4 linked regions of the Lepisosteus oculatus genome follow. The protein of the gene in region 1 binds, or shares a complex with, the protein of each later gene. Links are inferred from orthologs where the notes say so. Each region holds a gene or a part of one and is shown in the gene's direction. Other genes may lie near its edges.

The links. Proteins that work in one complex are often made in the same cells at the same time.
Region 2: the proteins of gna13b (region 1) and adgrd1 are in contact, whole or in part, in a cryo-EM structure (PDB 9V0U), measured with the Homo sapiens proteins. The link is inferred for Lepisosteus oculatus from reciprocal best matches to the Homo sapiens genes GNA13 and ADGRD1. Residues at the interface, in NP_006563.2 of Homo sapiens: Val49, Val216, Phe218, Phe359, Val362, Lys363, Asp364, Ile366, Leu367, His368, Asn370, Leu371, Gln373, Leu374, Met375; in NP_942122.2 of Homo sapiens: Asn599, Arg601, Leu657, Met660, Val661, Ile662, Val664, Phe665, Ser667, Val737, Ile738, Ile741, Ala761, Val764, Asn810.
Region 3: the proteins of gna13b (region 1) and gpr4 are in contact, whole or in part, in a cryo-EM structure (PDB 9JHP), measured with the Homo sapiens proteins. The link is inferred for Lepisosteus oculatus from reciprocal best matches to the Homo sapiens genes GNA13 and GPR4. Residues at the interface, in NP_006563.2 of Homo sapiens: Arg47, Pro341, Tyr343, Phe359, Lys363, Asp364, Ile366, Leu367, His368, Asn370, Leu371, Lys372, Gln373, Leu374, Met375, Leu376, Gln377; in NP_005273.1 of Homo sapiens: Gln45, Asn50, Arg115, Ala118, Val119, Ala120, Pro122, Leu123, Ala126, Ile204, Val208, Ser211, Val212, Ser213, Thr214, Glu218, Lys221, Ile222, Leu225, Asn290, Glu291, Gly292, Ala293.
Region 4: the proteins of gna13b (region 1) and s1pr2 are in contact, whole or in part, in a cryo-EM structure (PDB 7T6B), measured with the Homo sapiens proteins. The link is inferred for Lepisosteus oculatus from reciprocal best matches to the Homo sapiens genes GNA13 and S1PR2. Residues at the interface, in NP_006563.2 of Homo sapiens: Arg47, Val216, Phe359, Lys363, Asp364, Ile366, Leu367, His368, Asp369, Asn370, Leu371, Gln373, Leu374, Met375, Leu376, Gln377; in NP_004221.3 of Homo sapiens: Ser66, Met68, Tyr69, Leu72, Arg130, Ala133, Ile134, Lys136, Val137, Lys138, Leu139, Tyr140, Tyr209, Ile212, Val216, Ser219, Gln227, Thr228, Leu231, Leu232, Val235, Tyr288.

Annotation. Positions count from the first base shown.
Region 1 is NC_090704.1:39,941,721-39,949,527, reverse strand, and holds the start of gna13b (guanine nucleotide-binding protein subunit alpha-13b), read left to right. Parts: upstream 1-4,803; 5' UTR 4,804-4,914; coding exon 4,915-5,197; intron 5,198-7,807. Other genes in the region: regulator of G-protein signaling 9, read right to left, coding at 1,289-1,354. UniProt on the Homo sapiens protein: Guanine nucleotide-binding proteins (G proteins) are involved as modulators or transducers in various transmembrane signaling systems.
Region 2 is NC_090717.1:8,653,955-8,661,774, reverse strand, and holds the start of adgrd1 (adhesion G-protein coupled receptor D1), read left to right. Parts: upstream 1-4,820; 5' UTR 4,821-5,517; coding exon 5,518-5,583; intron 5,584-5,771; coding exon 5,772-5,808; intron 5,809-6,738; coding exon 6,739-6,855; intron 6,856-7,820. Other genes in the region: GTP-binding nuclear protein Ran, read left to right, coding at 47-172, 395-582, 744-914, 1,604-1,648. UniProt on the Homo sapiens protein: Adhesion G-protein coupled receptor (aGPCR) for androgen hormone 5alpha-dihydrotestosterone (5alpha-DHT), also named 17beta-hydroxy-5alpha-androstan-3-one, the most potent hormone among androgens. Also activated by methenolone drug.
Region 3 is NC_090698.1:1,583,063-1,590,258, reverse strand, and holds the start of gpr4 (G-protein coupled receptor 4), read left to right. Parts: upstream 1-4,196; 5' UTR 4,197-4,516; intron 4,517-4,528; exon of another isoform or gene 4,529-4,728; intron 4,729-7,196. UniProt on the Homo sapiens protein: Proton-sensing G-protein coupled receptor activated by extracellular pH, which is required to monitor pH changes and generate adaptive reactions. Activated by an optimal pH of 6.8-7.2.
Region 4 is NC_090706.1:15,452,083-15,459,163, reverse strand, and holds the start of s1pr2 (sphingosine 1-phosphate receptor 2), read left to right. Parts: upstream 1-4,081; 5' UTR 4,082-5,452; intron 5,453-7,081. UniProt on the Homo sapiens protein: Receptor for the lysosphingolipid sphingosine 1-phosphate (S1P). S1P is a bioactive lysophospholipid that elicits diverse physiological effects on most types of cells and tissues.

The DNA of each region.
Region 1 (7,807 bases):
TACATGTTACTGGATACATATTTGCAGGCGATGCTGTGGCTTCTGTTACAACATAAGGTTCCTGGTGTGGATGTGACTCTGGGTGGGTAAGGGACATGAAGGTTGCACAGGTTAGGTGATCAGCAGTATGAGATGATAGGGGGGACTGGAAAGTGTTCCAGTTAAGGCATCATCCTGTAAAATGGAGCCGTTATCTTTGATGATCCTGGGAATGGAAAGGGTGATGAGATGGAGGGGTAGCACCAGTGGAATACACTTTAACTGAATGAGGGAATTCCACATTGGATTGATGTTGCAATGGCAGATTATGGCTCAGATAAGGACTGTGTCAATAGAACATTAAAAGGGAATATCCTGTCGATGAAGAAAGAGTGCATTTTAAGGGGCTTGATTCAGGGAGTGATCATGTCATCACTGAAAGGTCTAAGGAACTGTGGAAAGCTCTGTGAATTAGTGGATTTAAAATGCACAAAGTGCATTACACAGGTGATGTGTACATTTCTTTTCATAATACAACAGTTCCTTAAATTCAAGGCTTGGAACAAAGATAGAGATTGGGTAATTTTAAAAAGTCAAATAATGCTTATCAAATGCCTTTTTGAATGCCCTGTTGCTATTAATTATACCTAAAACACGTGGAATGGAAATTCGCATCCCGCTTCCAATAGGCGTGAAAGATCCCTAGTCTCATTATAGGTGAGATAGATTGCGCATGGGCAAGAAAGTATTAGCTTTTGTACAAAAATAGATTAAGCATGCCTATATTTAGATGACGGGGTTTTTACGTTTTATGTGGTGGATGAGAACAAAATTAGAATATGTTGCAGAAAAACACGCTTGTACACCAAGCCACACCTGCACCTACCACTGGAAAGACAACAAAAGAAAAGTAAACATAACTGAGCAAGGGATCGCGTTCCTTCATTTTTTACGGACATCGTGATAAAACTAAAACTACTAGACCAACACTAGCACACTGCGCCAAAAACAAAACCAGACAATGCGAAAGGGTACCCTGCTTGTGCGTTCTAAACATCAGGAACATAAAATCTTTTCAGGCCAATTACTGGAAAGGATCATAACTTTCTCGGGTTCAAACTTTAAGCAAATTCATATATATGCACAAATGTTTAGGACGTGTATACATAGCGGTAACCTGATATTAATTTCTACTGTTTTATGGAATACAATTATAGAGATAAACAACAGGCTGTACCGATAAATGCACAATACTATACAACGCAATTTCTGATTTGTTACCAAGGTATTCCTCGTATGACAAGCCTACCTTTTTCAGACACGCCATCCGAGGTCGATAATGCTGGCTGTAATCACAGAGCTTGTTGATAGTCATATTTGCGTTCCCTGTCGCTGTCGTTAGCTGTGAGAAAGCAATGCGTTCAAAAACAACGATAAAGACAGCAAACTAGCGCAGGGACAGACGGTCTTGGCGTCTCTCCTCTTGCACACACGCCGCCTGTTAGAGTGATAAACCACAGCGAATATGAAGAAAGCGCTGGGATTGATATCCCAACCAATCACAACTCGGCTCTATTCTCACAACCTGTCACCTCTGTCGGCAGCATCACTGCACTTCTTAAACTTGCCCGATAGACGGCAACGTAGAGTTTAACATTTGAAGCAGCTTCTTCTAGTACATTGTAAGCCATGTAATATTTGGACTATCCATTCCCGCTAACTGTTTTTAATATTGTGTACTTATATACTTCTAATTTGGTGGCCTACTCAGCCCTAATATGTCACAATAGTTCCACTTTTGCAAACCGCCATCCCATAATCTCCCCAATCTTTGCGTCAAATGCACATTTTAAGTTAGGAAGAGAAAGTTATAATACTGACCCCTTTAAGGTGCTCCTTTACTTGTGTCAGCCCAACTTCTTGTTCTTACAGTTTCATTCCTACACAACTATGGAAATTCAATAAATCTTTTTTTTTTCAGAATGTGAAAACGTCACTGCCTCACACATATCTGCATAAATTTGTTATCTTCCTGAAATACATCTGCAATATCATATACGGTATTCGTTGCCATGTTAAAGATACCATCGATCGATAACACATTGCCCCCTGTCGGCGATATTTTAAGGTGAACTTTCTTATTGTTTTTCTTAATGTTGCCTTCAAGTTTTGTAGCTTCTTTCCATTTCGTTTCTTCTTGGGAACATATCCACATTTGTTGACCATTCAGAGCACAGAGCATTTGGTTTCCTGCGTGTCCTGTACAATGCTGGGTGATGTACTAGAACCCAGGAAATGTTTCTTGGTTTTCAAGAAAATAATAAAACGTACTGAAGGGTACTATTTTTCATATTACAAATATATATATATATGATAAGCATAATATTCACACGCGGCACGATGACACAGTGGTTAGCATCGCTGCTGAAGTCCAGAAACATACTGGTAGGTTGATTGGCCTCTGGGAAAAGCAGCCCCGGTGTGAATGTGCTTGTGTAAACCCGCCCCATCAACATGGCCTACCGGGAGACTCCGGTCTCCCCGCGACCCTGATTGGAAGAAGCGGTTTTAAAAAATAAATGGTTAATTCATTTGTTATGAACAAAAAAAGAAAAGAAAGAAGATTACTTAACAGTTAAGAAGAAACTGATTCACTGACTAGCGAGCCAGAATTTGTTCATGTTATTTATCCTTGAGATAACTGATAGTCAGGCCATTGTGAAGAAAGGAATAGTTGAAGAAATAATCATTTCTTGATTGAATGACTTGAATGACTCAAAAGAAAGCAAGTAAAAGCAATAATGATGTTATATGAAAAAATTCCATGTTGCATAAGAGTGTGGGCTATTTCAGGAGTACTTACACAATCACAAAACCTTCATCTTTCATGTAACAATTGCTTGGGTAATATTCCCCATTCGTGTGCATTCCATTAGAATTGTCTCATTTCCGATGGATTTCTCTCTTTCTTGTTCAACTAATCAAAATTAGAACATAAGCATTGCTGCGATGGAGAAGAGACCATTGGGCCCTTCTAGGCAGGTTGGCAATTCATTCAATTAGTCCAATTAATCCAACAATCAGATTCAGCCATTCCTCAAAAGAAAACAGGGTGCCGACTTCAAAAATATGGTTCTGTAGCTTGTTCCGTACTCTTTCAACCCTTTTTGTAAAGAAGTATCTCCTGTTTTCTCTTCCTAATTAGGCATTAGGCATGAATTCCCCAGTTTCTGCCAATGCCCACTGGTCTGTGATTCACAGTTAATTCTAAAGAGTTCTGCTGGGTTTACTTTCTTTGTGGATCTTGAATATTTGTATCGGGTCCCCCTGGTTCTCTCCGAAAACGTTCAGTCTCAAACTGAGATCTTCAGTCTCTTTTCAGCTTTTAACAGAGAATTAATGCATAATATCCTCACACAGACAACTGTGCATTTCTGACTGCTCTTGTACAGCACTTGACTTGTTCATAGCTGTAACGGTTTCACTCATAAATTGATTGAAGTGATAATTTTATTACATTTCATAAATATGCCTAGGAGGCTCACCCACGTACAATGATCTTTCTTGATCATAGCAAAGTGGTGGATATTATCTTTCGCTGACTGCTCCTCTGTTGTGCAGTCAAACAACAAAGGCTGTTCCTTGTGCGCCTGTGTTTTTCTCCATCCGTGTGTGCTCCACAACGGAGATCCCCACCAACTTTCTCAGATATGAGGACACCACCCTGGGTTATGCCATCCTTGAACCCTCCTTTGGGTAAGGCTTGTACCTTGGAAATATGGGACAGGAGAAAACAGAATTGACACAGTGCACAGTAGTGCAGTGATCCGCATTGCTGCCTTCTAGTGCTGGGGCCCTGGGTACAATTCCAGCCCTACAGTGCTATCTGGGTGGAGTCTGTACGTTCTCCCCATGTTCATGTGGATTTCCTCCCGGTGCTCGGGTTTCCTCCCACAGATCGAAGATGTGCTGGCAGGCTGGCTTCTGGGAAAAGTGTCTTTGGTGTGAGTGTATGCGTGTGCTGGCCTGCGATGGGGTGGAGCCCTGTCCAGGGTGCACCTTGCCTTGCGTCCATTGCTTGCTCTGATAAGTTCCCCCGCAAGCCAGAATTGGATGAAGCAGCTAATGAATGAATGTGAGAAAACAAAACTTTACCTATTAATAATACATATATTATTATATACATCAATCTAACAAACAACAATTTCTGTTTCTGATTATTTTGCATACTATTAAGTCCGAGACTGATCTTAACTGAACTGTAGTGTTTGACTTTGAACAATTCATATTGTAGAAACAAACGCTTATTGAAACAATAAACAAAGGATTATCGTTGTCCCTGATGAAAATGGAAATGAGTAATTACGCGACTAGAATTTCGCAGGATAAACACCTACAAAAGAGCTGAGCTGTCCTTGCTTAACTGTGGGTTTAAATGCAAGTGACATTTTCTAAAACTATTAAATAATGTTTAATTTGGGACACTGAGGTTTTCGGTTTCAATCAGGGGCGGAGGATCCCGACAATTCCCAGCGGGGGTCTTCTCTTTCCTCAGGCAGGGGATCCCCAAAACAAAAGAAAGACCCTGGTGCAGCAGTAGCCCGTTAAGACCAACGCTTTATAGAAGCTCTGTCGACCTGCGCGTCTGGATGTAATAGTCTACAAGGAGTCGCATCTGCAACAGCAACGAGTTTCAATCTGATTTTATTTTTATCAAAAATGAGCCCTTAATGACGGATTTCCACATCCAACCAAGTAAAGGCCACGCTTCTACGTCTCTTTCCAAACCCCACCCCCTATTAAAACCACAGTAGAAGTTACGCCGCGCATTCGTGCGCGCCCTTACAATGCGACTGCGCCCCGCCCGCCTCGGAGCTGAGACTCTCGGGGGCGCGCCCTTTCCCTCCCTGCTGTATCGATGAAGTTGCTTCAAAGATGGCGGATTTCCTGCCGTCTCGGTCCGTTTTATCAGTTTGTTTTCCTAACTGCCTTCTTAACAGCAGCGAGGCAGAGCAGCTGAGAATTTCCAAGGAGATCGACAAATGTATTTCCCGGGATAAAACGTACGTGAAGCGGCTGGTGAAGATCCTGCTGCTCGGAGCAGGAGAGAGCGGCAAGTCCACTTTCCTCAAGCAAATGCGTATCATCCACGGCCAGGACTTCGATCAGAGGGCCAAGGAAGAGTTCCGGGCTACGATCTACAGCAATGTAATTAAAGGTAAGTTCGGAAAAGAAAGTCGTCCGGCCCGACTGGGGTTCGTTTTCGGGGTTTTCGGAGGGGGGAGGGAACGTTTCTTAAACGGCCGAGTTGCGCACTTGAGGAGCGGGTCAGAAGTAAAGTTGTGTTCTTAGGGAGACATCCCCTCGACCGTAGAGAGAAGAAACGCCCATGTTATTTGGTTGTATTAGACAAGGAAGGGGGGTTAATCGGGCGCTAATTCACGTTTTCGTCTTTCGTGTGTAATCACGCTTCTCTTTCTTTTCCCCCCTTCAAGAAATCTGGCACGAGGAGTTGTTGTTTTTTTCCCCCTTGGTGGGTACTTTTTTTGGGGAGGTTAGCCACTCAAAAGTTGCCGGAGAAGCCTGGCTATTGTAAACGGTGCACAATCAGAAAAGCTCTGCACGGTATCCACGCGTTGCAGCGAAGAAAAGCCAGATATCTGCATTTCACACCGCGATGTAACGCAATCTGGGTAGAGGTGAAACGCCCAAGTTGGGGATGACTCTTTGAAAACAGTTACTATGTTTCGTTGGCTCATTTTTTTTTTGTGAGAAGCGAGGGCACGGTTTCAGTTGTTTGCAGTGAAGCCGAGAGTCTTTTTTTTTCCCCCTGGTGAAACCTGGGCTTGGCGGTGCCGTTTTAAGTTTTCTGACGAGTGATTTGAGTGTTTTACTTGGAAAGAAAAAAAATGTCCTGCCAAGGGAAGGTTAAAAAAGCGGGTTGCCCCTTCTTTTTTTTTTTTTGTTTGTTGTAGAAGTATTTGAGACGGAATTCAGGAGTTTTCTCCTGTCGTCCGGCCCGTTCCCGGGGTTATCTCGTCTTCTCAGTTGCCTTGAATTTTTCCTTTACTGGTGTTCAAACAGGTTTTGTCTGCAGCGAACGTTAATAATTACTGGATGTGTAACTAGACGGCGGCGGGGCGATTCGCATCTACAGACTCTTCTGTTTGATTTAAGGTGATAGCTGTAGGGTGTTGTCCCGGTTTCAGAGGTCGCATGAGCAGTGTTAAAGAAATAGAAACACATTTCTGAAGGGAAGCAAGTGGCCATATCCGGTGTGGGGGGAGAAGGCCGAGGCCAGTCCAGACGCACAGATGAGTCTTTTTTCCTCAGTGACATCAAGTGAGTCGCTTGTTCCGATGTTTATAAGCAACATTTCTGTCAGGGAGAGACCTGTTTTACAGATAATGATTGTACTGTATACTTGGGGGGAAACAGTGTCGTTGTGACGGAACCAGAAACTCTTTAACGTGAATTCAAAGAGAGTTGTGCTTCAGTGAGGGTGCAGTAAAAATGAGTGGTTTAGGGGGAAATAAGAAGCAGCCGTGCATGAAGTACTGGTTTAAAAGGCTTTGTTGGGCAGTAAGAATTCTAAAGGGACTGGCTTGGCTTTGTTCAAATAGACAACCTACAGCATCCGTTCAGACCGTCTGTTTGAATGATTTTGTTTTCCCTTTACTGCTACATTTAGCGATGGGCAAGGTTTTCCAAGCTCTTCTATCTTTAGAGCTTTTGTGGTCACAAGACCGCAAAGGGAAGGTGAATATCTAGGTGTATTTTTCGTATTGGAGGTGGAGTTTTCCCTGTTAGAGCTCTGACTTTGCTAAGATCCTTCCCCCCTCTTTGTGCAGCATGCTGCATGACCTTTCCATGTGTCACACATTGCATTATTGGATAGGTCAGGCTATAGCTTTGCTGCGTGCTTCTTTTGATACTCTTTTCTTATTAATTTTGGAGCAGAGCAGAGTTTTTTTTTCCCCTAGCACAATAAATCGGCGTGTGAAAGTGTAAAGTAATTCATAGCCCTTGAATGACGAGATCATGTGTTATGACTCATGTAACTGTGTATAATTAATTTTGAATGGTACAAGCCTTGCAAAAGCAGCACAGTGGTGTTGTGCTACCTCTCGGCGCTAGAGCTCTGGGATCAGTTCCTGACCCGGGGTGTTATCTGCCTGGGGTTCGTATGTTCTTCCTGTGTTTGCGTGAGTTGCTCTCGCAGTCCAAAGACACCTTGGTAGGTTATTTGGCTTCTGGGGCACATTGGCACTGGTGTGAGTGTGTGTGGCCTGCGATGACCTGGCGTCCCATCCAGAGTGTACCCTGCCTTGAGCCCATTGCTCGCTGGGATAGGGTCTGGTTCCACTGGAACTCATTAGATGAAGTGGCTAGAAGATGGATGGAGGGATAAGTAATGCAAGATGTTGCTTTGGAATTTATCCCTACTTCTTTAAATACGGAGTATTATTGATGAGTCTTTGACCTCTCTGATAGGATCACACCCGAAGAAGGCTCGACAGCCAAAACGTTGTTTTGCTTTCTTCTTCTTTTAGCAGGGAATAAACCCTTTCCTCGTTCCCAGGAATAAAAGAGTGAACAGTAGTTATTTGCTTGGTCTTCCTCAGTGGCTGGGATGGCTAGAAGGTGGTTGCGTGTGTGAGCGGCGCACGAGATCCTGCAGCTGGGGGTGGCCCCACACCCCCTCAGCTACAGCTTTGATGGGGGGGATTTCCAGACGAGCTGAAATGCTTGTATTGTCATCCTGTGATGGCAAGAGCGAAGGAGATTGGGTTCTGGGTCAGTCATGTGTTTGAAACGGGAACCCTGG
Region 2 (7,820 bases), on another chromosome or scaffold:
ATCGTCTTGGATATTGGCACTGATGCATCTTCTTTTGTAACTTCAGCTACTTTGGGTGTTGAAGTCCACCCGCTCGTGTTTCACACCAACAGAGGTGCAATTAAATTCAACGTGTGGGACACAGCTGGGCAAGAGAAATTTGGTGGTCTTCGTGATGGCTATTACATTCAAGGTAAGTTCACAATGTGTTCATTCTTAAATGATGGGTTGGAATAAGGAACTGGTTTTATGAATGAAATAGTTGTTCTTAAATATAAATTTAAAACACCTGATTAACAGGGATGTTATGATTAATGGCACAGCCCACTTAGGATGTACCAAAATTGGAAGTTTTAAATTGATTGTTACAAATGGTGTGAATTTCTTCTTGACTGTCCTTTTTTTTCTTTTCCAGCCCAGTGTGCCATTATTATGTTTGATGTAACATCTAGGGTAACATATAAGAATGTCCCTAACTGGCACAGAGATTTGGTGAGAGTCTGCGAGAATATTCCCATTGTTTTGTGTGGCAATAAAGTAGACATCAAAGACCGAAAAGTGAAAGCGAAGTCCATCGTCTTCCATAGAAAGAAGAACCTTCAGGTGGGTCTTTTGTTGAATAGTGGACTTGGAGAGGCATAGAAAGATTAAAGTAATATCACAAAACATTAAATATTTATTACAGTGGCTTATTTTAAAATTGTAAGCAGGTATGGATATACCACATTTACAATGGCTGATGCTAATGATGTCTTTCTTTGCAGTATTATGACATCTCTGCCAAAAGCAACTACAACTTTGAGAAACCCTTCCTTTGGCTTGCCAGGAAGTTGATTGGAGACCCCAATTTGGAGTTTGTGGCAATGCCTGCTTTGGCACCACCTGAGGTTGTTATGGATCCAGCACTGGCTGCACAGTATGAGCAAGATTTACAGGTATGATGCTGACTTGATCTTCTTAATTTTGTAGTCTGTATGTTTAATGTATTAGGGTTTAGTTTCCTCCCTTCACTCCTTTTATGTGTCCAACAACACTGCTAAAAGGAGCAGTTTTACAGATGCTTAAGACCAGGTCATTGTTCATCTTTAATTTTATAAGTTGTGTATTGATATACATGACTTAATTTACTATGCTCGGATGTCTTTTTCCACCAGAAACATAATCCTCGAAGCCGGTTTTAGACTTAACATTTTAATAACACTGTTTTAAATGATCTCTGTCCAGGACTTTCATTTGTGGCAACCTAACTTCTTTCAAACACTGATTGTGGCATAATGTACTGAATCCTTTCACTTGGTCTGTGGATAGAATTATTGTTTAAATTGATACATGATTTTTTTTCCAACTCAGACTGAAAATTATTTTGTAAATCCAAGGTTGTTTTGCCTTCTATACAGATGTCCACAGGTGTTGTGCTAAGAGTACTAAACAGATTACAATCTCATCAAATGGGGCGCATTAGCTTTTGCATACTGTTGTCACCTCTTGGTTGATTTTGAGAGGAGAAGTTTAAGTGTTATATCAGAAGTCATGCTTACTGAATTAGAGGCCCCGATCTCGTATCAAACGTTTGTTCAGTTAAGCTGGGCTGATATCAACTGCATTTTTGATTGTCCCTCCACAGGTTGCCCAGTCTACTGCTTTGCCAGATGATGAGGATGACCTGTGAGTGCGGCTGGAGCCAGGCACCGGCCGTCTAGTTTTATAGGCAGCTGTCTGTGAAAATCTTGGTGGCGCGGCTCGTCTCCCGCAGTAGTTCCACAGAACACTTATATATGTGCTTTAAAAATCTTGAGCGGCTGAAGAGAGTGTGGATTTCGGTGTGAAAGTGTGATGGAGAAAATACAAATCAATTCCTACTACTTTGGACCTGCATAAAACTTGGCTTTTTGGACTGCAACTATTCTGCCCCCTTATGAATTTTGATAATTTATAAGCCTTCTGCAGTAAACAATACACATTGGTGGCACTTGTTACTCATTCCCTTTTTTAATACATAATAAAGTTGTTTCAGTTTTGAAAGCAATTGGCTCAGGATTTTTCATTGCACATTAAATATGAAGTCTAATGTGAAAAGTGGTGTAACTCATGCTTAGCTGCTGCATGAGTATTTCCTTAAATTATGTAATCAAAAAGCAGTTCAAATGTTCTCTTATTCTTGGCATTTGATACTTATCAGCACCTCAGTTTGGCCATGTGTATTTTTCTGCTGTGGAGTTTCAAGATTTTCATTTGTTTGATGTTTTTCGGTTTAAATATTTGTAAAATGGAGCCTTTCTAGGTCTAAGTGTTGCTGTGAAGTTTTTCTGTAGCATTATTTTTAATGTTGATCCTAATTGAAATGGGCTGATCAATGAAGGCTTAGTAAGATAGAATGTGCCAGATGCGTAAAAGCTCAATTTTGCTCCGGAGTTATAGATCTGTAATTATGTGTCCCTGAGCTAGTATTCGTTATTTCAGAAAGTGTAAAGTGGAGTATCCAGAATGGAAATACCGTAAAACTGCATCTTATGTTAAAGTGAAATTTGTGAATCTACGGATTCCCTCAACTACGTTGTAAATTGAATCAGCCCCGCCAAGTCAGACCACACTTGCCACAATCCTAAATATGTAGGAAACTAAACCCAAATTGTCTTGGCTCTAGTCTGTACAGTTCAACCTTTTGCAACCAAACCTGACTTTTTTTTAAATAAACCTACAGTGTGATTGATGGCTGTCTTAAGAGATGGTATGTTGCTGAACAAAAGGGGCACTGAAGAATGCACCTTGATTGCTAACTATTGCCAACCATTAACTTAAAACCTTGTAAGATCGTTGGGGTGTCAGTGGTACCTCGTATAGAGGCTTTTTTTTTTAGATTTAACCAAAAAAGGTCTTAAAATTCAGTACAGAATGCATTAAATTTGTCAAGATAAAGAGCTTTTCTTTAGCTTGTGGACTTGGTGTAACATCTTATTCAAGAGGCCACTGATGCTTATCAAGCTGTTAGTTCTTATGCCTTAGGTTTAGTATTGAAACATTTGCACACCTTATCCACCTTCAAAACCTGTGAAATGTATGTAAACGGTGCAAAAAATAAAACTTGTTTTGAGAAACCAGATTCACTGTTTCATTCACTGAGTTCCCCGAGCATAAAAAACAAATGGCTTAACTTCAGTGTTCTTGGTCGGTTCCCATTGGTTCACAGATCGGTTGTTAATTGCATCGCCACCCCAAAATGTTACAGTCCTGGGTTTCTCTTGGTTTAGCATAAATGTATACTAGTCCTTCCAATTTCATTGCAGATTTTAAAGGTGCATAAGGGTTTGACAAACTTTGTGACTGGATAGAATGTATAATCGCTGTATCTGAAGACGGGCGCTTCCAAGAGTGAATACCTATGACACTTGTGTGCAAGAGGCACAGGTATGAATGGAGTTCAAAGCTTTGCACGTCAACTAGATACACCTGTATAGGTTGAGAATCAAGTCTTGAGAATGCATCGTCGGATATGACAAAAATCTTCATTTTGTAAAATGGAGATTAAAATATTGTAATGCTTTGGGCAATTGAGTTATGAGCTCGAGCTACGTAACGCCTAAAAATCAATTCCGTGGATTTATAGCTTTACATCTTTAAACAATTATCCAATAGGTGGCGCTAAGTTACCGCTTTTCAAGTGTATGCTGCCGGAGTGGTGCAAGTACAATATTTCCAAGCAAGGAAGCGGAAACATTGTATTACTAGCAAAACCTCCCTGCTATTACGGTGAAATAGTAATGAACCTCCCATTCGCCATAATAACAGATGCGTCTTATTCTCACAGCGCAAAGTTCACTTTCCAGGAGAGGTGCTTTGTGCGCATGTATCAAAGTGTTCTCAGTGGGTGAGCAAAGGTAGTAGATTCCAATTAAATGACTAATTAATTACGATGTTGCGGATGAACAAAATGTTAGTCACAAGGCGTTAAATTCCACAGAGCCAAGCCTGGTCCTAAGAAGAACCATTAGGTTTTATGTGTCATTGTTAAACACCCAGTTTCTAAACGCTTGGCGAATTTCGCTTGCAGTCTCGAACAGGTGATCTTGCTCAAATAGTTCGGAGATCGTACGAAGAGAAAATCCCCACTAGAAACTGGAAACTTTACGTTTTTAATTTACACCTCAGAATATAGCAAAGTGATGTTAACTATATTGGTCAGCAATCACGTGTCCCAAATCGGTAAAAATTAGTGATTCAAAGACAGGGCAGTATGTTTTAGGAAGAGTATGTTTTAATCTTGGGAAAAATCGAGTCACAGGAACACTCATCAAAAGGAACCTGTGAATGACACCATCAACAGGAGTTTTCACTACAGAAAATGGGGAAAATAACCTCACACTTGATAAAAATGATCTGTGTCAAATCTTATTAGTATATGTTTTGAGTGATTGTGAGTGGCCAGTTAGATCAGTCTCCGGTTAGATCAGCTCCGTGGTTGATAGAAAGGGTTTTTAATCCAGTCACACAGAGCCAAGGTCTATGGCATCAGCCGAAGGGCAGTTTATCGACTTTAATGTCGTTGTTGCCCTAATCTGACTAGTTGTGCGGTCTCTCCCAGCACATCTGATGCAGCGGCATTTTTAAATTGACACACCGCCCCCAAGGACCAGATTGGTCTATGGTCAGATTATTTTAATACACAAGTATAACATCATAGATCAGAATTTCGATTGTAGCATAATACACATCACCAAAGGCGTCATTGCCATCAAGAGATGATGGCATGTGACAATTCACACACGCACCTTTTCCTCTTAATAAAAGTGTAATTGAAAGCGTTTAGGGTTCAACCAGCACCGGTGTAGATATCTCCGCATCATAATTTAGTTTGCAACACGAAAATGTAAATACTGGGTAGACATTTATCATTGTCCTCATGAGCGTGACTCAATGTCACACCGCACATTTCTACCTGTTAAATATTAGCTACAAAAATCGTATTTAATCTCCGAATGGAATGATGGCCAGGCACGGCCAGGTTGATGTGCATTACATAAATCCATAGTCTATACACCCTTTTACAATCGAAACGGGAAGGAAAAAAAAACTTCTCTGGGACCCAAAGGATGACATCACAATTTCAAATCCCCCACCCAGCAAAACAGAGCTCGGGGCCAGGCAAGTGAATTCTTACACTAACATCCAAGTTGAGTAAATCTGTGGCGAGGCACCGAGAAACAGAGTACGAGACAGAGCGCTCCAAACTGGCAGATAAAAAACTCCATGCAGCGATCATTTTCTGCTCGGTGCACCGCAGAGGCTGGAAGACCGAGAAAACGAGCTATAAGAAAGAAGATGTAAGAGTCCAAAGATTGTACATCAGAGCTTTTCTTTCATATAAGGAGTTATAATACATCAGGGGTTTTAATATCATCACAAGAAGGAAAGAAAGGCTTTGAACTGTGCAACACCTGGAACGTTTTCAGAAGCGCAGAAGATGATCAACCCGCTTTGGAGCCACTCTGCACAAAGGATTTAGTTGAAACCAGCACAAGTCCAAACTTCTGAGACCAAGCTATGGAAAAGCTCTGCCATCTCTTATCAATAACGACATTTTTGTCTTTAATTCGAGCCCGTTTTCAGGTAATGTAACTACTTTTCTTGTTTAACGACTAATATATTTGAACAAATTATGTAAAATATTATTGATTTGATAGCTTTAATTCGTGCCAGCTTTCAGGTAGTGTATTGTTTTTTAACGCCGAAATATTTTAAAACACATTATGTACAATATTATGGGTTTTACAGCTACATGTATTTTTTATATTTAGGTTTATGGTGAATTTGGAAACCCGTCTGAACATCCAGGTAAATTAGGTCTATGTTTTATATTTAAAGTTTTTTTATTATATTAGTTAATTTAATTTTTTGCCAGTTTTGTATATACATTTTTATTAAGTCAACGAATAAGAATACGATGATCAGATAATAAAGTAAATGTAAATAACTAATTAATGTTGCAAGAAAGTTGACTTTACGAAACACTGTAGTAAAGAATAGTATTTTTTACCAGGAAGGCTTGTCTAAACTAAAGTTTTGTTAATTTAACTAAAGTTAAAGGTAGCATTGTAAAGGTCTTACATTGCTTAAGATTTCAGTTATTTATTATTTTAATTAGGTTTAAAAATGATTATATTTGTAATGTCCCAAACAACATTTTGTTTAAAACCAGTGTGATAGTTTTAAACAAAGCTTTTCTTTAAGTTGCAGAGTGCTTCATCTTTCTCTAAACCTATGATATGGAGGTGTATTTATTTTTTAACATATGTGTCTGTTTTCCTTTTTGTTTCTTGTTTCTGCAGCACTTAGGGCTATGTGATGATTTTAAAGTTAAATGCTTCAGAAATTGTAATCGATTAGATTTGGTTGAAAGACTGATACAAATCCTAAAAGTAAAGTTATAGTACTATACTAATCTGAAATTGACATAATACACAATGCAATACCTACATCCTAATATATCATTATTATACAGTACTTACATCCTTATATGTCCTTCACTTAAGATATGCGAGATATATACATTTTTACAATGACATGTCAAGGGCTTCTCAACATTTAGCCTTGTGATCACAAGCTACTGAGAGTTTCTCTGAAATGAAACCTATCAGGAAAATAAAATTGATACTAAACCTAATTTCTCACAGGTATTAACACCTGTGACTTAATCAATGCTTGCTGGACACATACAGCTCGATTGTAAAATGGGCTGTTAAGTATTTTCTTCTTTTTCTTCAGGTCTGAAAATTTTAGCCAGTGCGTCACACTACTGGCCCCTGGATGCAGTAGATGGGATATATGGACTGTGGGATGTAATTGGAAACCGAACAGGTCATATTAATGGAAATAATATAAGTATGTGAATGTGACATGTGTAGGCTAAACATATTCCTGTCTGTTTGAATGGTCTTTGTTGTTCAAAATAGACTGTTGTGTCTTGTTTCCTGGGGCACATTTTGATAGGATTTCACTCAAAACTATTGTCCCTAGTAGAATAATATTGCTGCTAATTAGACTGGTAATCCAGTCATTATTAAAGATACTAACCTTCATAATTAATGAACAGCATTTAAATATACAGTATATGTTTGATGTCTTACAGTCACTGTAGATCTTCATGGAATACGCTATGATAAAAAATCTATGAGGTACAACATTTTCAATAGTCTGTTATGGGTTGCATAACTGGAGATAAAGATAAAATGTTAATTTAAATGGAGAGAAATCATTGTCTGTGATTTTAGTTAGCTACTGCTGACAATGTGTACATTTGAAAGTTCTTGTTAGATTACAGCAGGATCTTACACCTTCCGTATGCTCATTTCAATGCGTTGTGACACTTTGCAAGCTATTATATTATATTATGTAGCTTTACAGGCTATTGCGTAGGAAACAATTAGTTAACTTTTACTATATTGTCAAGTACCCTTTTAAATTCCATACAGCAGCATTGCTGTTTTAAACATATATTTTCTTGTGTTACCTGGCAAAGAATCCATCACTTTGGATTGAGACAATTGTGAATCTAGCTTCACTAGTATGTAAGGCACGTTACGGATAATACCTACAAGGCCTTGAATAACTGCAAGGAAAATACATCACACTAACAGATGCATACCAGAAAGAAAAACCTTTGAAAGCTGCACTTAATTGAAGGAAATGTTTTTGAAAATGACTTAAAGGAAATGTAAGACTGCTGATGCCAGAAAGCTGGAAAGAGGAGTGGAGTGCAATATGTTTTGTTCAGAATTATCTATTTTTCCATGCAGGATAAAGAAAAACTGGGATAAAAAGCTTGGATAGCCAGGCATCAAACTGGA
Region 3 (7,196 bases), on another chromosome or scaffold:
CAGGGTGAAAGGGCTCTGAAATCAATAAGCTATTAGCAAACATATGAGCAGGAGGAGACGAATGGCCTCATTTTGCTCAGGGCCTGTCTGAGGTTTGTTTCGTTGACAAGGGGAGTGAGGGGGGAACCATCTGCAAGGGTCTTCCTCGCTGCTGGGCAGGAGGCCGTTTCAGCGGACCAGTCTCAGAAGGAGGAGGAAGGTGAGAGGGGGGTCCGGGCCATCAGCCACCTGAAAGAGAAGAGAGGAAGGGGCATCAGACGATTTCATTTCTTCTGTATTTTTGCAACCTCATGAACGGTCATCGTGGGGGGCGAATCAAGTTTAATTTGATGAGCTGCTTAGACATGCACAACAAAATATAAAAACACACTCATGACCACTGCAATTCAGACGCTCCTGTCTCGCATAGCTCAACGTGTCACATGACCTGACTGGCTAGTACCAGGATTCGAAACTCTGGTGCAGAAGGCCTGAAGTCCAACTGTTCTTCTAGGATCATTTAAGTTGCCAGCAGCTTACATTCTGTGCAGAGACATCAAATTGGACCAATGGGATCCGTTTACCTAGGAGTTCTGCCGGATCCAGTGGAATTCCCGGCTCCTGCTCGCTGCCGGAACCGCGAGACGCTGTACCCAGCGAGCGCTCCGAGAACCCCGGACTGGCGGCCACAGCGTCCCCCCCGTCAGCTGTCCCCCATGCTCTCCTTTGGTGGCAGTTCTGCACTCCGGGGGGAAAGGGATTTTCTGTGCCCAGGTTCCCGGAGAGAGGAAATTCCTGAGCCGTCTCGGTTTATTTTAAGAGGACGGCAGAAGGACAGACTCGGGGAAATGACTCCCTGCTTTCCCGGACGGCCCCTGTGACAGCGTGTAAAGTCAGGGCCCTATCGGCCCTCCTCGGGCGACCGACCTCCCTTCCCGTCTCACCCCCCGGCTGTGGCTCGTGACTCCTGAGCCCTGAGGCCTGGACCCAGCCCCGGTCAGTTTCTCAGAGCGCCGGAACGGTCAGCGACAGACGCACGGCCTCCCGGCTCTGCGCCGCGAGCTGGGCCTGGAGCTGGGCCTGGAGCTGGGCCTGGAGCTGTCCGGAGCCCCGCAGGTCCTGCCTGTGCAGAGCTGCGCTGCTTCTTTTCGATTACCACGACATTTTTCTCCTTGACCTCTCGCCTCTTGAGAGCAGAGGCTGAAGCGCTTATTTACTTTTCTGCTTATTGTGTTCAGAAAAAAAAAAGATCTGGCTCATTTTTTCCATGAAGTTTACAGATGTTTTTTTCCCTAATGCTCAGATTAACTCTCCCTGAATTGCTGAACATTTTTTATAGCCGTTGCCTGGCAGCAGACGTGAAACAGATTTTTTTTGTTTGTCTTGCACCAACGTCTTTTCTTCTCTCCAGCAGCTGCTGACATGCCACCCTCAGAGTTGCTAATCTTTGCAGTGGCGTTCAACCTTCCTCCTCCAGTTAGCACCGAACACAGGGCGCAGGGCTGCCAGTCTGCCGGACCCAGCAATATTCACTGCCCTGCTCTGCCCGCTCAGACTCCTGGTTTCTGGCATTTTCCCAGTGAGGTGTGGGCTCGTTCCCTTCCCGGAACGAAACATGATGGATAGAAACTGTTCTTTGTACTCTTGGACTCCCTGCTTTTTGGCTCATCTTCCAAGATTTTTAAGGATTCAGTTCCATCTCTCCGTACTCTCCGCACTCCGTTAGCCAGGACTGGTCACACTGGGAATAGCCCCTTCGTATGAAATCCCACTCAATCCAGCTCCCCTTTGCTCTCACAATTTAGAGCAGCCAATCAATACTGATGTGCATGTCTTTGGTAGGTGGGAGAAAACTGGAGCCCCCAACACACACGAGAACGTGCAGACTCCACACGGACAGGTATGTGAGCCTGTCCCGTCTCACCCCGGATCGCCCCAGAAAGAGCACCAGAATTACCTTCACTGCATACGGTTCTGCCGCCACGATTTGCGACAGCGTCTTTCCCTCAGCGCTTGGCTCTCAGGGGTCCTGCCACGAGGTGCTGCGAACAGGGCAGAGAGGTGGGGGAGGGGTGACACTCCTGCTCCTGCAGCACCGCAGACAGAGACACTGCAGCACACAGCTGGACACGCTGCACCAGCGCTGCCACCTGAGCGCTGGGGGGTTCTCATCCGCTGCCTAATGGCTGGAACGGAGGTCACAGCGGGGCCTGCTAAGCCTATTTATTTAATGCACTTCCCTCACAACTGAAAATGATGCACAATGGAATTATCTCAATATCCCCGCGCTACCGAGACTCAATACGGTCAGGGCTAAAAGCATTTAGGCACCTCAGACTCAAAATAACCTTATTTGCTGCGGCCTGCAGGCTGGGCAGGCGCGACTGCGCAGAGCACCGCGGGGTGTCCAGTTTCAGCCTGCTCCCTGCGTGCCGAGCGCGGCGGCTCTCCCGCGACCTTCCCGAGCAGACCTGAAACTGGAACCCGGGGCCTCCGTCTCCCAGCCTGCGCGGCTTCAAGGGCGTCCGGGGGCCTCGCGGAGACGCAACAGCTTGGCCTTCTGCGCAGGTTCGAAAAGCCCAGTGTGTCCCGCATCAGTCCGACTCCTCCTCCTTCCAGGGGTGGGAACGGGGGGGAACATCGTCTCCGTAGCACCCCTGAAAAAAGTCTGGATGTACTGAGTGTGGGAAGCCACAGATCGAGGGTTTCTTGGGTCTTAGTCCCAAGGAGCACCTGGGTCATGTGGTTCCAGTTTCAGACCAATTTATGATAAACCAGTTTGGTGTATTTGGTTATTCCCATGAACGCATGTCTGTAACTCAAGACAATAAGAATTCAAGCTGCCCTCTGGTCACGCCAGAGCCCAGTGCTTACACCCGGCTGGTCTGGACTGGGCCACGCCCGGCCCCGGAGCTCGCAGGGGAAGAGGAGAGGAAACGAAATGCTGAAAGAATGAAATGCTGCACAAGGACACAAGAAAGACTAGAAACAAGAGGAGGCCACTCCATCCCTCCCGCCCCTGAGCCCAGGAGCTAGGAGCTAACCCAGTCGAGGGACACATGCAGCCAGGGTGTCAGCTTCAGCAGCCTGGCTGGGTAGCTTGTTCCACGCTCCCATCACCCTTAGCGTAAAGATTGAATTTTTTGGGGTCAGTCAGCGAAGCCTCGGAGGACAGCACCCCAGTGTCTGCGGCAGCCCGTCCCGCTACTGCTCTTCCTCACTGCCCGGTGCGACACCGAGGGCCCGCAGCGCCCGAGCCGCGCTCCTCCGCCGTACGTGCATGAGGGGCGAGTCCGTAACGAGCGAAGCCGTTTTTGATTCCTGCTTGTCGCTGGATACGCCGGGAGGGAACAAACGAGGGCAGAGCAGCAGAGCCCGGGAGTTGTTCCTTGTTCAGGGGTACAGTCTCCAGCGACACAGCCCAGCATCTGAGCAAGCGCGCCTGCATGCGGCTGCTTCCCCGAAACAGTCAGTAATAGCGGAAGCTCTCCCCTAAACCCGAGGCGGACAGCAGTATGGCAAACTAACCTCTACTCCGGAGAGGCTAAGATAACTAACACTAAGGAGGAAGAGCACAGGGATGTAATATTGAATCTATTCCGCGAGCGGTCGCCTGGGCGACGAGGAGCAGAAACTCCTGAAATCAGTGGAAATGAAAATTATATCAATTCGTTTTAACTTTCAGCCGGTGAAACTGATCGGTTCTCATTCCCCCCGCCTCGGGTGTGAGTGCTGATGGGGTGTCCCGGGACTGAGGGGTCCCTGAGCGAAATGGGTCTTCTTGCGCCTCAGAATTTGACCATCTTGGCTCCCCGGCTGGGTCTTGCAAGGCGAAGATCATTCAGAGAAGCGAATCTGAACTGTGCGCTGTTGAATTAGCAACTAGTCCATGACTTTCTTTGCTGAACATCACAAGAAGGGAAAACAATCCTTCAGAACGTTTTAGAACAGAACTCGTGAACTTGTCAGTGATAAGCGCGGTGTTTATCGCTATTATTGTCGTGATATCGGGTGATGACGACGGCGGTGTCTGTTTACTCGCTGGCTATTTCCAGCAGCTATGACACGTTTGAACACACCCGGATCGTCCCGGCCACCCGTCTGCCCCACAAGCCCTAGAGCTGCGTGTCGGCGGCGGAAGAGTTAAAAAAAAAACCCGTCCGAGTGAGAAGCAACACAGAGCAGAGCAAGTGCCATCTTCTAGGGGAGGGAGAGAGAGAGAGAGGAGGGGGAGGGAGAAGGGAGGGAGATAGGGTGCACGCTGCCGCCGGCTTCTTAATTTGGAGCGAAGACAACCTGACCCGTCTGTCTCCGGAGCAGCCGCGGAAGCAGAGCGCACAACGAGCCGGCCCCGCTTCCTCTGGCATCGCGTGAGAGCACCCGACAGCGGCTGGGGGGCCCCTGGACAGTACAGCCCTGCGGACGATGGGGCGCAGGGGTCTGCAGCGCCAGTAGCTGAACTTCCCCCCCCAACACACACACACACGTCTCTGGCGCCGCGCACGGGGCCGCGGGCGCGTGTCGGCTCCCAGCCCAGGTGAGTGTCGGGCGGGCGCGCGGCGCACACGCGCTGGCGCTCCGGGGTCCCGTCCGTGACCGTGACCGTGACCGTGTGCTCATTACTGTGCACGCCTGCGGGAGGAGAGTACAGGCGGGACGACGGCGGGGCGCTTCGGATGAAGAGTTTAGCACCTCTTCCCTCGCAGCCAGCGTCGGGGCGGCTGGACCTGCTCGGGCGAAGGCGCTTCTGTAAGTCTTGCGGGTTTATCGCGTTAACGCGGTCCTGTGTTTTTGAAGTACCAGCACCGTAAGCTGTTCGAGGTTTGTACCGGTCTGCGTTGTCCCGGGCGGATTCAAAGCGAAAGGGGCAACTTTTCTTCCCCCCCAAAGACTTAAAATAATAAGAGGAGTATGGCGAGGCGCGGTGATCGCGACAGATGTTTCACGTACTCCTGCCCCTCGGGCGAGGTAGCCTTCCTCGCTGGCCTGCCGAGGAGAAGGGAGGAGGAGGAGGGACCTCCATCGGTCCGCTCCCTACTCGCGTCTGACCGGTGTTGTATGAACCCCTTCAGCGTCTGACATGAAGTTTGAAAGTCATTCTGTTCACCCGCTCACAAACGAGCAGGTTGCCTGTCATATTCACTGTAAATAATTCATTACAGCCAGGGGGTTAGTGAGAGGCCAAGTGACTTTAACGCAGGTGAATGGTGTTCGCTTATTAATAAATACAGAAGACTGTGCCCCACCGGCTATGTCTCCGAGATGCCGGTCGTGGCGATACGCCAGGACTGTAATGATTTTGGTAATGAGAACTATTATTTGGCGAATGCCGCGCGGTAGTGGCGTATGTCGTTAATTGGGAGGGGTGACAGGTCGTCTCGAGATAATGGGCTTTCAACTGAAAAAACAAACACGAGCCGCCGGGCTCGTGGCGCACCCGCGCTCTGGTACATGTGCACGAGCCGTGTGAAATTACTGCCATAACACTCTTGCTGGCCGGATTCTCTGTCTCCTCTCTGAGATTTGCATTTTACTGCCCCCTTCATTTTAATAAGGCCTGATAAACGACCACGAGCGCAGCCGTAAATGAAAACTAGTGTTGTGTCCGCAATAAGTTTTTTTTTTGTGTGTTTCCTGAAAACCCCGAGGAGAACCTCCTGGTCCTGAAAGGGCTCTTTTCTTCTTGCAATTCTTTGCACGTATGTAGCGCCTTTCATGTCAAATGATCTCAAATCGCTTGATCTACGGAGCGGCAGCCTCCGAAGAATCTCACCTCATCACTATTGATCAGGGCAAGTTTTTCCACCGGAATGTTTCCGTGTCACGCACTTTTATAAAGCGCTGTGACGTCCCTTGTTCTCTGTCTTAAAGACACAGACTTTCTTCCCCCCCGTTCAAAAGCACACCTCCCTCAAAATGGACGTCCCGAGAGTGCACCTCAGAGGTGTGTGCTGGTCATCCGTGCAGCAGACGGGACGTGCTCTGCGGTCGTCTCCCTGCTGTCGCGGAGTTTTGGAGTCCGCTGGCTCTCCGGGCTGGGGGGGGGGGGAGGAGGAGTGTGAAGAAGGAGCTGCGGGAGAGGTGCAGAGGCAGGGCCTGGCCCTGGGCTCTCGGCCCTCTCGATGGGACCGTCCTGCATTGCAGGATGAGCATCAGTAATTGCAAGAGCCTGCGATGTGCAGGGGAAGGCCCTGTCACTGCACACTGGCCCGGCTCCAGGCTGCAGCCCCGCTGACCAGAACGGCAGTAACGCCGGTCTGATCGACAAACGCTTGACTTTTTTAATAGCATGTGGTTGAGTAGAAAATCTCAGTGTTGTGTAAACAGAAGGTGGGTGGGAGGAGGTCAGGTCGATGACGTAGAATTCATACCCTTATGTAAAAAATCACGTCAGAGCAGTATGTGTTTTCCTATGATAGGTACATAGATATATTACCAGGAAAGGTTTCACATGTCTTGAGGCCCCTCAGCCCATTTAGGCTGTAACTGGCACAAAAGGGTAGAAAGACTGCGCTGATCAGACTCACGTTTGTTCCAGTCTAATGTGCTGATTTAAGGGCATCTGTGAAACTGCTGGACTGGGAGCCTTCAGGACCAAGGCTGACCTGACTGGTCCTTGTGTGAGAAACCATTGTCAGGTCTAGGTTATGTTCTTGTGCTTGGAGCAAATTTCTGCAAATAGATGCCCTGATACATTTTTTGTTTATGTTGCCTTTTTTTCTCTACTGGTGCAAAATGTCCTAAGAACAGGGATACTTGGAGTATAGCTTGTAGTTGTATTAATTACAGTCACACGACTCTTGACAGGCATGCAGTCATCATGATTTATTTCTGTGTCTTTTTTTACTTCCTCTTGCTTCTGGTAACTGGGCATCCTGGATACTTCATTCTCAAACTCTGTCGCCCGTCTTGGCCTAGCGGACAATACTGTAGGTGTGGGGCTGGACCCTGTCCTTCGAGCGTGAACAGGGGAAGACCTTGTCCGTCCAGGCAGGGGTTGGACACTGAGTCAAGTGTCCAAGTCTTCTGACGAGTCTCCTCTTACGGAATCCGTCTGCCATACTGGAGAGCAAGCCTCAGAAATGCACTTTGAATAATTGGAGCTAAATATCCCAGCTAGACCCGAGAGCAGCTCTGTGACATTGAAACCAGCGCTGTGGTATCACTCTTGATGATATTAAATGATATCAGAGCCGGGAGTCCATTGACAGTCGTAG
Region 4 (7,081 bases), on another chromosome or scaffold:
ACTACTGCGACAGGCATAAAATCCACATTTCCTCTTCTTGTCAAAAAGTTTTCAAACGTTGCCAGTGTACCACTTTGAATTACCAGAAATAACCACAGTGTGAGAATCGCAGTTTTTGCTATGAGTGTTTTAGGTTGCCAGAGCTCACAGAATGTGTGTGAACTCTCAACACCCTACCCTGTTACTCACCCGATCGAATGGAATTACCAGTAGAAATTCCTCGACCAGTTGTGAGTTCTAGGTAATATCATATGCATTTTCTTTCATTTCAGCCCTTCTATTATGCTCACCTTCAGTTTAATGCTGTTTTCCTTCCAAGGTGTTCACCCCATTGATTTTGTTATTCATGGTTCAATGGATCTATTACATTTCTTTTGTATGGAATGGGGGCTGAAGCTACCAATGACTCTGACCTGATTCAAGGTACATCTGTCTGCCTCCCGAAAGCAGCTTCTTCCCAGTGAGGGTCACAGCGCCCCAGCAGGCTATCCCATAAACACGGGACAGAGAGCGGACTGCACCCTGAACGGGCCAAGTGAATCACAAGGCAAACACACACACATGGAAACATTTCTAGACGCCAATCGACCTCACCAGATCAGAAAATGTAGCTGACTATTTTATTTGAAGAAACTTTCGGCGAATAGGTAGCAGGTAAATTAGGCATCAACAACCGCTGTGACACTGGTCCTCAGGACAGGGCACGAAAAGGCTGGGTATCTTTCTCGGGATGACAGTCGGCAAGCCCAACTCCTTAAATACTGATCTGATGATTTGAAGAGATCAATAAAACCTGACGGACTGGGTGCCGCCCTGCATCTCCTTCGCCTCGCTCTGTCAGGAGCACCTGAAGTCGCCGGGACTGGAAGACTGGTGTCCTCGAGCAGGGTGGCAGGTCTGTCCCCTTGTCCACGGAGCTGTCCTTGGCACAGCTGGCACACATGTGGCGCGCATTTGTGACGCCCGCTGCCAGGCTTTTGATGCGCCCGCGAGAAAGTGGAAAGCCACTGGCAGAGCGCTTAAGGCGCTGAGGCTGTGGTCACTGGAGGGTCAGCCTTGGCACAGTCGAGGATCAGTTTCTTACAATGTGGCTCCGCAGAGGTAAACTACACAGTTCTACTGCCCCTAGACACCCATGCATCCATTTTCCAGCTGCTTCATCCAACTCAGTGTCCCGGTGGGAGCCAGAGCCAATCCAATTTTCTAAAAAGCCAACTATCCTACTAGAAACCAGAGCACCTGGAGGAAACCACATGAACATGGGGAGACCATGCAAACTCCACACATACAGCACTCCAGGGCAGGAATCGAACCCAGGGCCCCAACCCTGCCCGGTGGTAAAGTTCATTACTGCACCGCCATGCAGCTCCAGTCCAGGTCTCAACATAACATAACAAAAAGTTTACAAATGACGTAAATGAGGAAATTGTTCATCTCATTTTGTTCGTTTTGTAAGGAGTAATGAATTGATCCAAGGATCTCATCCCGCTGTTGCTTGAAAGAAAATAGGGTATGAGTTTCAGCTGCATGGCTAGGAAGCTCATTCCACACTGCTCCCGCCACCCTTTGTGTAAAGGAGTGCCTCCTGTTTTTGGCTTTAAATGCACTTCAACGTTTTTCACCAGTGTTCTCTGGTTTGGGTTTCAGCACTAAAATTAGCATTACCTCGCCCCAGTCAAGCCCACAACAAGGGCACGTGAGAGGGGAGAGCATCGACCCCCCCTTCCCCATACTGTGACATCATGATATTGTTTCCCACGACAACCCCGCCCCCTCAAACAGGTCTTAAACAAAGGGCATCACCACGGCAACGACCAGGCGCCGCAGAACGAGAGTGAGCGCGTTCTAGTTTTTTTTGTATCCTGTAAGTCAATTTCGGGGTGAAGCCACAATTAACTTCGGAGTGTCAAATCTGAGCCCCGAAAGGCAAGCCAGTACTAGAACCGGTCTGTACAGCAGCCAGATTTTCTTTCCATACCTCCCCTGCCAGGAAACTTAAGAAATCCTGCAAAAAATAGAGTGTTAATCAAGGAACACTGCTTTCATTAACAACCTGTCAAACAAAGTCATTTCCATTTAGCTGCACAGGTTAGGTTACTGTGTAAACTCAACAGACAGCCAACTGAAAATCACATTTTTAAACTTGTGATCATTCTGACGCACAAATTCCAACCGCTGTGCTCCGCACACAAAGTAGATTTTCCTTATTTAGGAGAATGTATCTCCAGTTTGTGAATTTTCAACATTGGCTCGTCTGATTTAATCCTCTGTTTGTTTATGGGGGCTGCGATTAAGATGTGGGTAGGTCCGCAGGAGGATTTGTTTGGTAGTCCACATGAGAAGAAATATTTCACCCGCCATGTCAGAGCCACTCACAAATCCCTCTGCATTCAGAGGTGATGAATGGCACAGCACGCATTCCATTGCACAGCTAACAGAAAGGGGGGAAAAAACGTGTTTTTTGAGAAACGTCGTTTTTAAAATACCACTGAGCGTCCTGGGCTTTGCGCCCAAACATCTGTTTAAAGAATCCGGCCCTATATGTGTATACATGCTACCTTTCCCAGATGTGGAGGCCCGGTGAGGGCCAGCAGAGTTCTCACAGACAGCGGAATGTCTGTGGTGGCCCACAGCAGGAAGTGAGGTTCTGTCACTTGACCTCTGTGTGCGACTCCCAAGTCCTGCCCCAGCTGTGCAAGGAACAGTACTGAGATCTGGCTGGAAAAAAAAGGACAAAAAAAATCAGGCAGGGGACATTCAGAACACAAACAGAGGGCTCTTGGTGTCTGACATCCACCCTGTCCAGCCCAGTCCCCCCACCCCCGCACACACTGCCTTCACACTCAGCATCTGAGATTCTCATTAACCCTAACACAGGGGCATTGTGGGATTGACAGCACTGTTTAACTATAGGGGCAAAACCCATACACCTCCACTGGGTACTCTGGGATAGAGTCGGGAGGGTGAACGCGCTCACTGTGAATATGTCATCCTTCTCTTCTAGAAAAGGCTGCAGGCCGGACTTGGTTTCAGGCCATAAGGGGCAAAGCGGTGGCTCTGTGGCTCTGTGGCTAATGATCTGCACCTGTGGTTAGAAGGTTGCAGGTTCAAATCCCCCAGCCAGCAGAGGAATCCTACTCCGTTAGGCCCCTGACCAAGGCCCTTAACCCCAACTGTTCCATGGGCGCCGTATAAATGGCTGACCCTGCGCTCTGACCCCAAGCTTCTCTCCCTGTCTGTGTGTCTCATGGAAAGCAAGTTGAGGTATGTGAAAAGATAAGTTCCTAATACAAGAAATTGTATAGGCCTAATAAAGTGATCTTATCTTATAATGCAGTGATCAGAGAAGGCCACAGGCCAAATAAATCACTGGCTCCTCTCGATAAATAAATCACTACAAATAAATCACTGGCTCCTGTAGTAAACCTCACTGGCAGCACACTGGGGTGAAATCAGAGTGAAGTGTAACCACGGTAAAACCCTGGTAAAACACAGCAAGCATCCAACACATTCGCACCTTCTGGGAAAACATGGCAATGCACAGCACGTGTAAAACGCATGCTATGGGTAACACCAGCTACTACTGCGAACACGGCTGGCAGATTTGCTGTGGTTAGCAGTCCTCACCGCTATTTGCTCTTTGCGGAGAGGGGGGGTTGAGGGGTATTTGTGGAAGGGGTGCCGCGTGGTTCAGTTTCGCTTGTACCGCTTAATTGAGAAACACGTCGCTTTGCCCAAATGGTATGTGTGGTTTGACCTAAACTAAACAGAATAAAAAACACTTGGAAAAAACGCTACCACCGCTGTAACTGCCGGTGTGTGCACATATAATTAATCATTCTATTAATGATTCCTGTGACAATGAGGTCATCGCGACATACGTCTCGTGGCTATTCGCAGGCAGATGTGACAGTGGGGGGGGGGCGATGACGTCACCTGCATGCAACGCGAGACGGGCTCCGCTGCAAGACAATCGGCGGGGTCTCGTCACGTCACAACAAAGCGGGGTCACGTTCCGCAATGTGGGAATGCGGGGTGTGTGTGTGTGTGGGGGGGGTTAAGTAAAAATAAACAAAAATAAATCGAGAACTGGACAATTTATCTGGAGACCTTTTAAATGTGAAGCAGGCAACGTCTCAATTCTCAGATAAAAAGAAAAGCACGAACGCGCGCGAACAGCTATAAGCAGTCTTTTGGTTGACGTAAACAGGGCAACTTTGTTTTCAAAAAAGAGTAAGGGCAGCGGTTAACCAGCAGGGAGAACTGAAGTCTGTGCTAATTCCCCCGAATGTGTCTGAAACGCGGGCACCCTGTGACAAACCTTTCTACAGAGGGAATAACCTACTTTCTAGACTTCCCGGCGAGTAGCCCTGCTGGTAACTGCTCCTGCAGGGTCCCGTTCAATCATTAACTCGCTATCTCTGCCCCACAGAACAACGGGTCATTCATTGCTGTGCGTTGACGTGTTGTACTTTCAGCAGTTGTTTCAGTAAATTCAAAGAGTCTCCTCCCGCTTAATGAAAAAAAAAACAATCCCAAGAGATTTCTCTTGTCTATGCCCGCCGCTGCCACGCCGGAGTGAAAGGTTTTCCGAGAGGTGCGAGACTGGCCACGCCGTCCACGTCTCGGTCTCCGACAGAGACAGCGACGAAAAGGTGAAAAAAGAGAGGGAGAGAGGGGGGAGAAACATCTGGATTTCATTTCGGAGTCAGAAGACAGGAGAGAGGGGGGAAAAATCTGCGATTACAAAAAGGAGTATTTTTCTGCGCTGAAACACTTTTTCATTGGGTCTCTAAACAAAGAAGGAGTGGAGAGCTCTCCCCACCCTCGCTGTTTTCTTTTAATAAACCAAGCTGATTGGGAAAAAAAAATAATATTCCGTAGTGGGACTTTGCGTGCACTGCGGAGGGCTGCTCTGTGTGTGTGTGTGTCACCGTGTGAAGCGCGCCTCCCAGCTTCCAAAGCTTCAGAGACAACTAGTGTTCCCTTTGCGAAGGAGCGCAAGTCGGGCGGACACGGGATTTGTACGGCAGGCCAAGAGCGGCACGGAAGACGTCCCGTCGCCTCGCAGTTTTATCCGCCGGTGGCTGCTGTCCACGGCGCTGTCTTGCCGCGTGCTTTTGCCCACGGAGGCGGCGCGCTGCGGAAGGGCCCCTCTCAATGCCAGCGCCGCGCGGCTCCGCTCCCTCGCAGCCGGTTTGCGAACCTGCGTGGATTCCGTGGAAAGCGGGGAAGAAGAAACAGCGGCGTCCACAGCTGGCCAGGTTTTGAGAAGAAGAAAAAAAGAAAGAAGAAATCCTGACACTCCGGGAGGCAGCTTTCCACGGGTGGGGGACTTTCAAAACCAAACGGAATTAAGGAGCATGGTTTCAGAATAACCCAAGATACAGCAAGACTCCGCTGGACTCGTACGCAACCTCAGAGCGTTACTGCTTCGGACACGGTATATGGGGTAGGTCTGCAACATCGGTGATGATAATAATACTATAATGAGAATAATCGGAGGTGTCTTGAGTTGTTATTTTGTAGTAACCATACAACACAGTAGGTTTTGGAACCGCAGACTCACGCTAATGCTACATTTTACGGTGTGAAATATATCTTTTTTCTCACACGTCTGGAGGGGCAAACGTCATAAGACACATTCGCTTGAAGTACAGCACCACAGTTTCTAAACGTGTCCGTGTTGATCTGCGTAAAGCTGACCTCAAAGCCCTTGCTGACCGTGAAGTCAGCTAGCAACTTCGAAGTTCCTGTTTTCGGAGCAGATCCCCGCGCTCAGGTGAGGGGCGTGTGGTGAGTTTTTTTAACAACTGCAGACCCGTGCAGGGCAGACGGGCTCGCTCTCTGTGCTGTGAGCGAGCAGCACGGGGCACGAATAACCGATGTGGGCACGTGTGGTGAATGTAATTAGAACTTGCAAATAAAAAAAAAATCGCTTCTTTCGTCTTTCCAAGTACACCCGTCGGTCGTCACGGCGCTGCTCCTCGCCGATAATTGTTTCCTATCAGCGAGATATTAACTTATGGATGTTGGAAAGTTGAAGAGAGCACACACCAGTCTTTCTGCGGGGGTGGGGCGACATGTCTTCGCATGCTTGCCGCTCCGATCATTAGTCGCTGAGTGATTTATTAACCTCCCCGAGACCCCGGCGTGTTTTGCGCCGGACCTAATCACGTCCCCCCTGTGCCCTTTCGGGTGAAGGGAGCGGAAGCGATCGGGGGGTAAAACTGGCCCTTTTTTCCGGACAGAAGGCGTTGTTGGGTTTTTTTTTTGAACAACCAGACAAAGGCGTCCGCTGCCGGTGCTGCGGGGGCTCTGTGGGCACCGTGAGCGCGGCACGGAATCGGGAACTGTGTGCCGGTTGTTAGCGGACGCCGGGGTCTCGGAGTAGGCTTCAGACGGGGAAAACTTTCGGGGATACTTTCTCGTCCGCTTTCCACTGCCAGCCACTAAGTTGTTGCATCGCAGTCTGCGCATTGAAAAAAGAGCCACGCGTTTTAAAAAAAACAAAACAACCCATTCAACAGTACTAACGCCAGACGTGTCTTTAAAACCAAGGGTTTCACGGGTAGTGTGCTGACACGCCTTGACCTACCTAATCCTGATACATGAAGGGCAGATGGTCAACATACCGGAAAGTGGTAGTTCATTTAGCACGAGCACAGGGAGGGCAGCGGTCATTTAGGGGGTAATATCAGAAGTGCGGGGACTGAAGGAGAGGTCAGTGCTTGTCAGCTGACCCTGGTCTGGCAAATGTCATGCACTCGAAAGAGGGAAGCCGTGTGGCTGGGAAAGAAGACGGAAAGAAAGCGAAATGAAAGCCACCCCTTCCAAGCACCTTTGTCCGCAGGGGGGGCGACTGAGATTTGTCCAACGCGAGATGGGAATGGTGCACAAAAGCGAGCGTTTGAAATAGACAACGGAGGGGAGCTGCTGCTCTTCAGGTGTGACGACCGAATGTGTTCACGCGCAGTGTTCAGAGCCACATGCTCGTCCGCGCGTCGTTTACGGGGCTCTGAGTTTTGCCACCGCTTGGTCCGGTATCAGGGCTCTGTGGAGCGCAGGCAGGCGGAATTGA